2 linked regions of the Nothobranchius furzeri genome follow. The protein of the gene in region 2 purifies or fractionates together with the protein of the main gene of each other region. This does not show direct contact. Links are inferred from orthologs where the notes say so. Each region holds a gene or a part of one and is shown on either strand. Other genes may lie near its edges.

Region 1 (4,430 bases), on a different chromosome or scaffold from region 2:
CAGCCTGATGAAAGAGAGAGACCCTCTGGCAGCTCAATACTGAGTTCAACTACAGATGCTGACATGAAGATGTTCACCATCTTCCACTGACATCCTGACATCTCTAGTCTTAAATTATCCCCACGGGTTTAATACATGGGTGAAATCTGCTTCACATAAAAACAATATGAGTTGGACTACAAAAGCAAACCATAAAGCAAACACAATAATGTCCCTGAGTTTGTACAGAGGCTGTTAATATTTACCTGCATCCTGTAGGTCTACTACAGGTCTTCTATTGACTCCAGTCGGCACAACATTACCCTCTAGTGGTCATGGACATAATTAAAACTAGAGCGTCCACTGGGGGGAAATTAAAAATATATATTTTCTGCATACTAGCTCTCAATGTTATATTTAAATTTAAATATATAAAAACAAATAAACAGAACTCAAAGAACGTGTTTATATTTAGGATCAGTGGTCAAATATTTATAAATTAGAATTATTTGTTTAGAATCTGAACGTAAAATTTTCCAGATTTCCCAACTTTCTTTCCCATCAGTGGTAGCCTGGCGGGCCATGCAGATTCTAGGCTATGTCAGTGGGTATTGTTTGGGTCTCCCTGACCAAGTTATGCACCGGGGCGTTGTTGTCTGCTCTCACAGCTCTGTTGAGATGGGAATCAAACTCTTAAATATTAATACAAAAATACAAATATCTGTATAGTACAAGGGTATTCAATTCTTGGTCTGGAGAGCCGCTCTCCTGCATGTTTTAGTGGTTTTCCTGCTCCATCACACTCAATTCAGTGGCTGAATCGCCTGTGCAGTAGCTCATCAGGCTCTGCAAAAACCTGTTAATCACCTGCTGATTGAAATCAGGTGTGTTGAAACAGTTAAAACCAAAACGTGCTGGATGCGGCCCTCCAAGCCCAGAATTAAACACAATGGTCTAGTGGATTTAATTTAGGTTTATTTAACCAAACTACCAATGATGAAAGCATATTTTTCATCTTTTAACAACCTACTTGGCACAAAACTGGCCTTTATATTATTTATTTATTTATTTAGACCAGTTTATGGACTTAAATTCAATGCAGTTTCAGTCACTGCCCTGCCCCATTATGAGAAAGTACGCCACCTAGTGGAAAACAGTAAAAACTAAACATTTAATCTGTGAACGGTCTGGAAACCCAAAGCGGAGCGGTTAACGAAATTATGTAAATACTCATATTATTATTATGAGAGCCAATAAATGACGAAGGAAGTACGATGGAATGATGCCAGCGTTGTGTTAAATGGGAAAGGGGACACTTTTGACACATTTTAGGGTAATTCACCCAAAAATTCACACCAAGGGGAAAACATTACATAAACTGCATTATAAGAGCCAAAGGGATATACAAAAACACAGCAGTGAGCACAAAAATGCTTTTGCTTGTACGTATTGTGCGTACATCCCTCAGCTGGTGAATGTGTGTGATTCAGTAGGAATGACTGCTGCCATAATTAAATTAATGGTCTTGCTGCTCTTTGATGCTCCCTTTACTTGAGTAGATGTCCACCTTCAATGAAAGTCAATTAAATTATTCATGTGTCTTTTTCTATAGGGCTAAACGCATCGTGAATTCAGAGCTGGGTTTAAAACTACACATCCCACAATGCATGGCGGCAGGTCTGGGGAAAGTACGGAACTGTCACAAAATACTTTCATTTTCTGTTTTAATGCTGAGTAACTGCGTCCATTTCTCAGTGTCGAGTTACAGAGTCTTACGCTCTTCTTTCTTCTGCTCCTGCATCATTTTATTACCGTTAAACTTATTAAATAAGTTTGTTTTTGACCAGCAGAGTCGACATGGCGTCTTTGGGGATTGGCTTCGAATCGAAGAAGCAGGTGAGCTCGGTTTCTTTGTTTCCTGTACCAAAACCGCGTCGAAACCACTTTGCCCTGAACACTTGGCGGGTGTGAGCAGCTCACGGGTGTTTGATTAGCAGACCCACAGCAGGGCTGAGGTCAGGGGTCAGGACTCAGGTTGGCTGCAAGGCCTGTACTCCTGCCAAAATAAAAGCTCAAAATATCGCGAGTTTCAAAATAAAATGGGGTTCCGCTGCTGCTCATGAATTTTATTTTATTTTAGGTGGATGACTTCTGCCAGAAGCTCTCCAAGGAGGTAACTTTTTTTGTGTACATAGATTTAATTTTTGTTATCTTAGTAGGTCTATAAACTCATGTTTTTGTTTCAGGCAGAGGAGCTGCTGTCAAAGTTTTTCCCAGAGAAGCTTGAACAGCTCCAGATGTTACTGAAGGTACGAAGCTGATCGTTTCAGATCAACAGTTATTTAAAACAACCCAGATAGAGCTCTGACAGCTGTGGAGTTGCTGTTGTGTTTGTGTCAGACATCTTTCAACTGCGAGGACCTGGCCTCCATAAAGGCTCCGCTGGACATCCCTATACCAGATCCAGCTAAAGAGGAGGCTAGGCGCAAGAAGAAGGAGGAGGTTCGTCCCACACTCCAGGGGTCTCTTAATACAGCCTGTCCAGCAGTAACCGTGATCATAAATGCAACAGGCTCCTGGTATTCAACCTTCTTCAGGGTTGAGTGGAGCCTCTAAACTGGGGTCCTCAGCTCAGTGTATATATTTAGGGTTTTATTGTGGGTTGGCACTGCTGAAACGAGTCCTTAGTTACCATGGCAGCCAATCACTGTGTAATTTCCAAGTGCTGTTTAACAAACTGACAGTGTGTGGGCCTCGTGATGCTCCTCAGTCTCCTGATGGGGTTGCACACTGGAAAATGTTCAGAATCTAATCTAATCCGGAGAATGTCTGAAAGTGATCGGGGTTTGCTGCAGCCTGCAGTAAAGGCTTTAGGTTGGAATGCTTTTTTAAATAAACCCTATTTCTTATGCAAAGACAACAAAGGAGGTGCTTATTAAATGAACCAAACAGATTAACGCCATTTAAAGCGTCTGACATGACTCTCTTTGTTCTCGTGCTGCAGAAGGAGGCTAAGGAGGGAAAGAAGGACAAGGACAGTGAAAAAGAGGAGGAGGATGCAGGTAAGTGACAGTTCTGATCAAGATGGCGGCTGATTAACAGCGTCTAAAAATAGCTGCATATTCATTCATTCACTCCCAGGAATAAAACTATACTCAGGTTTTGTTAGAAGGAATTTTATTAGATACTGTGACCATGTTGGGGTTGTTTTTCCTCCAGGACCTCCATGTGGGCCCATCTACAGCAACGAGCGAGTGGAGAGCCTCCTGAAGGAGGTCAAACCTGAGATTCAGACTCTGAGGGAGAAGCTGAACACGGTCAGTCAGCCTTAGGTTAACGTGTGAACGGATCACTTATCTTTAGGAAGCCTCTAGTTACCAAAGACTGGTGTCCTTCTGGCAGGTGTCCATGTGGGTGCAGCTCCAGATCCCTAGAATTGAAGATGGTAATAACTTTGGGGTGGCGGTGCAGGTTGGTAACAGCTGAGAATGTGATGAAACCCCACAGCTCTGACATGAATCTGATTTTTAAACGTTTATTTTCGGTAAACAGGAGAAAGTGTTTGAGCTGCTGACCAACACACGCACCAAGATCGAAGCATTCCAGACTCAGATTTCAAAGTAAGACCCTGCACCCTTCAGCTGAAGCTAAACAGGTGGACCAGGTCAGGTCTCTGGTCCTCGTTTGGGATTGCTGTTGCCCCTTTAGCGAATGACTTCTTGTGCTCATCGGTTTGTTGTAGTTCTGGCGCTAAATGGTAACAAACAGCAACGAGCGGTTGTGATTGAGTCGTTCCTTGTTTATTGTTGCAGGTATTACAGTGAGAGGGGCGACGCTGTGGCCAAGGCCTCCAAACAGCCCCATGTGGTCAGTATCCCACATCCACCATGGTTATCTTCATCCTAACACAAGTGTTGATTGTGAACGCTACCCTGAAATGGTGATGTTTGTGTAAAACTGCTGCAGGGAGACTACAGACAGCTGGTCCATGAGCTGGACCAGTACCAGTACTGCGAGCTCCGCCTTGTGGTCTTGGACATCCGCAACACCTACGTAAGGCTCCTCCTCCATGGTTTGGATGTAAACGATTCCAGCTGTTTCCCAGCGTCAACCACGGCTAAATGCTATCCCTGCTTCATTAATAGGGTGTCATGGAGGTGGGCGGGTAATTAAAGTAATAGCCTTGCTTGTGTTAAATTGATTACTGCTCCATATGCAGTCCATTAATCAGAGTGTCAGGTCCCTGTGGCCATTGTCCCCTCGTGTTTGATGCTGTTAATGGGCAAGGCTTCTCAGCCCAGGATGAAAGGGGTTGCTGGGTGGAGGAGGAGGGGGTGTGTTACCCCCTCTGTCTTGGATCTTGTGCTGAATCTTTTGGGAATCTAACAACCGCCCTCACGAGTCTGTCCGTCTGGTCCTTGTCTCTCCAGGCCGCGCTGTTCGACATCATC
Region 2 (3,647 bases):
CAGCGTCACCCTGAGTTTCGTAGTCGTATTCGAACACTGGGAACAGAAGTGTAAATTATTTCCTGTGCAGCTGTATTTAGTTTGCACAATTAGAGGGATTAAATAAATTAGTTGGCTCTTTTCTGCCCATGTGTTCTAACCCTCGGTTGGCTCTGCAGCTGCTGGGTCAGCCGGGCCAGAAGGAGGCATTTATTTATACAGTTATATTGTAATAATTTAACAAGTGGTCATGATTATATGTAGCTTGTCTCAAAAATTGGGATCCTTTTCTAATGTACTTGAATGCATTTATTATATTGTGTAACCTGACCAACCTGACCAGTGATGGTAAACGGCTTTAGGTCCTTATAGAAGTTAAAATGTAACGTCAAGTTGGAATTTGGGAGGGGAATTGGACACGTTAAGCAAAGTAAGATCTCATATGAATCAAATGTGATTAAAACCATCAAAAATAAAGGTTCAGTTTAAGCAGAACTTCTTTCTGTAGTATCGAACATCTGAGGTTTGGTATTGTAGATGTTTAGAGATAGAACATCGTATCGCTGCATGAAACACAAGGCCCTCCTGCTGAACTTACTGTAGAGAACCGTGATGAGTGCGAGGGGCATCACCAGAAGTCCCACCAGCAGATCAGCCACAGCCAGTGACATCAGAAAGTAGTTGGTGGCATTCTGCAACTTCCTTTCCAGCGACACAGCAAGAATGACCAGGATATTTCCTCCGACGGTGGGGATAATAACCATGACGATGAGCAGGGCGGCCCATTTCAGCTGAATCTCAGGCGCTTCGCCTGCGTGCAAACTGTTGTTGAAATGCGCCATGACTGGCAGGGGCGTGTTGCTGCTGAGATCCCAGCGGGCCTGAGCGTGGGTGGAGGCTCTGATCTTTCTGGTTTTGGACTCTCGGTCAGCATGGTCACTGGGTCCCACGGGCAATGGCGAAGGGTATGGCGGGACCACTCAAGGCGTGTGCATGAGACGCATCATCTCCAGCAAAGAATACAAATCAAAACCAACAGCTGACACTCTCAGATAGTCACTGCTTGAGAGGCACGAAAATAAGAAGATCTAATAAGTCCAAAGCTAGAATAATCCCACAGCAAGTCATACTTCCTTGGCGACCCGTAGCTGGAGACCTCACATTCCCACGTTGCTCATACTCCAGTCATCTGTGTGTAAGAAGGAGAAATGTCTGTTTAGGAAATGCTGATGCTGTTACCTGATTTCATTTGTCTTAAGAGTGATGTAATAAACATTAACCTAGAGGCCTTTCGTTTCTCTAGTAAATCTCTCGGCTATAACAAAGAATTAATAATGGCCCACTTGCTTCTACAGATGATGTTGTGAGGCGTTTGTAACTAGAAATGCTCAGAATAATTCTCGGTGCTCCCGTTCTTCCGCTCACACAGAGTTGTGTGGTTGTGTGAGAGTCGGAACAGTTCTGAACCTTAAAGAGTTGGTTTCTTACCTTCTTGTCGGGGTTTTATTGTCTGAAGTTCTCTGACTTGTAAATTCCCGAGTATCTTTCCTGGCTGCTCAGTCCAGACAGCCATGCAGCTCGGCGCCGGTGCTCTTCAGAGTCCACGTTGCTCTACTCCGAAGCTCCTAAGGTAAGAATGTGATGTGACTGAATCACCTCCTGCAGCAGCTACGTCTAGTAATCCATGGGGTGGGGTTAGCTCCACACGCTGGAGCGAATTAGAACAAGGTCTTGCTTTGCAGGACAGGTTTAAAACTTTCAGATGCTGTGGCCCCTCCGCCTCGCTCTCATTCCTACTCACTGGTTCTTTCTTACTGCCTGCAGTCGGCTCACTCTCCTCTTGTGTCAGTCGTTGTCTCCCCCCACCTTCCCTTTTCGTTTTGCAAGTCAAACTCTATACAAAACAGATGAATGTCCTCTTGCTGGACACATGCCAGTGGCTTAGGGAGGTAATTCCTTTCAACACGGCTGTCCCACTGTTTAGACGACCCCCCCCCCTCTTGAAACAAGCAGTTATACTGGTGCAGCAGTGGTTTAAGGGGGGTACCCTTTTGTGTGATGACTGTACTGCACAGCTTTTTCCTTTTTCTCCCAGTGAAATCAGACTTCTGGGCTAACAAAATCCAACACAGTCAGCTTTGTGTCAGTACTCTCAGATATGATGCACGCTGTTACAGTCAGACAGGAACTTTACCTCTTAGATTTTTAGACTCCAAGCTTCTTTCTTTTGCTAAACAGACACTCTTTTATGCGTGTTTCCACTGAAACCAAGAATTTGTGTTTTAACAAGTGCTGAAATGATTGAGAACATGCCCATTGATAAAAGATGACACACAGGACAATCCACAACCTACGTTGTTGTTTTTGTGCAAATACAGAATCGGTTCATAACAGATCTAGTGAAGGTTGTGTTAAAGGGTTGCTCGTATGTCTGATACTGTTGTCTTTTGGTCTGTGCACCTCTAGAGTCTGTGTCTAATTGAGTTAAAGACTGAAAATGTCTTTGACTCTTCATGTCCAGTGTCCTCACTCAGTCCTCCATATTCATCCTCTCATCGTGCCTCTGCAGGACTCCGGAGCAGTGCCCCAGTGTGGTGTCACTTCTGTCGGAGAGCTACAACCCTCACGTGCGCTGCGGAGCCGCCATGGCTCTGGGCATCTGCTGCGCCGGAACAGGCAACAAGGTGAGAGCCTGCCATCACAACATCCTCTTTCTTCAAGTCAAACCATTTGATCATCGTTGTCCTTTTTGACGAGCTTTTGTTTCTAAAAGATAAAATAAATATTAACTGCATTTTAGCTGTGTGCTTTTTTCCTCCTCCTGGTACAACCTGTGCATCAAAGATCACATTTGCTGAATGAAGGCTGCTCCACTCAGCAGCTGTTTAATGGTTCATCTGTAAAACTAAAGAGTTGCCTCCTTACGGTAGAATTATTTTAGCCATTTGGCTAATATTTGAGTTCTACAGCAATTGGAGCATTTAGTAAGAAATTCTCTCATCTAATTTCTTCTAATCCATTAGGATTTACTGTAATTTTTAATAAGGGAAGGATTGCAGATTAGCCAATAAAATGATCCAAGATGGCTCTCAGTCATCGGGGGCTTTACTCTGTCCATGTGTTCAGGCTCATTCACATGTGTGAAAACGGCGAATGTTGGGGCTGCTGCCAGTTCCTAAGTTGTCCAGGCCGATGTGGCTCGCTGCACCTTAAGCCTCCGAGCAGCTCCAGTGCTGCTCTAAGTGTTGTTGTTTTCCAAAACAATACCTCAAGGACATTAGAAGACGGCGAGGGTGATGGTGAACTCAATCCGCTATTTACTGGGAGTGTTTCTTTGCGACATCAGTCCAGTAAAACGTTTACTGGGCTGATGTTTGTTTTATAACCAAAAGAAGAAAAGCAAGAACTTGTTGAGGGAAAAAATACTGAACTTGTGCTCCAACGTAAACATTTCAGCCTGTGAATGGAGAGGTATATTACAGTCCAGTCATATCAGGTGATCTGTTTTTATTTAGGCATTAAAAAAACTCTAAATTAACTGGTTAAATATGGCTTGCTGCTTTTAATTTTCAACATAAACACCCCCACAGTAAAATTAATGTAATTTCATTTACAAATGAGCTAAAAACAGTCCACCAAGGTGCAGATTATCATGGGTCAGTGAGGAC

What was found.
Region 1: the proteins of psmd1 (region 2) and psme1 fractionate together in Homo sapiens (co-fractionation; 3 studies listed by BioGRID, with this or other methods). This does not show direct contact. The link is inferred for Nothobranchius furzeri from reciprocal best matches to the Homo sapiens genes PSMD1 and PSME1.

Annotation. Positions count from the first base shown.
Region 1 is NC_091747.1:42,055,443-42,059,872, reverse strand, and holds the start of psme1 (proteasome activator complex subunit 1), read left to right. Parts: upstream 1-1,610; 5' UTR 1,611-1,836; coding exon 1,837-1,875; intron 1,876-2,119; coding exon 2,120-2,152; intron 2,153-2,225; coding exon 2,226-2,288; intron 2,289-2,379; coding exon 2,380-2,481; intron 2,482-2,983; coding exon 2,984-3,041; intron 3,042-3,198; coding exon 3,199-3,296; intron 3,297-3,381; coding exon 3,382-3,450; intron 3,451-3,531; coding exon 3,532-3,599; intron 3,600-3,791; coding exon 3,792-3,846; intron 3,847-3,945; coding exon 3,946-4,032; intron 4,033-4,409; coding exon 4,410-4,430. UniProt on the Homo sapiens protein: Implicated in immunoproteasome assembly and required for efficient antigen processing. The PA28 activator complex enhances the generation of class I binding peptides by altering the cleavage pattern of the proteasome.
Region 2 is NC_091748.1:61,518,463-61,522,109, forward strand, and holds part of psmd1 (26S proteasome non-ATPase regulatory subunit 1), read left to right. Parts: intron 1-577; coding exon of another isoform or gene 578-821; exon of another isoform or gene 822-1,015; intron 1,016-2,548; coding exon 2,549-2,663; intron 2,664-3,647. Other genes in the region: htr2b (5-hydroxytryptamine receptor 2B), read right to left, coding at 578-821.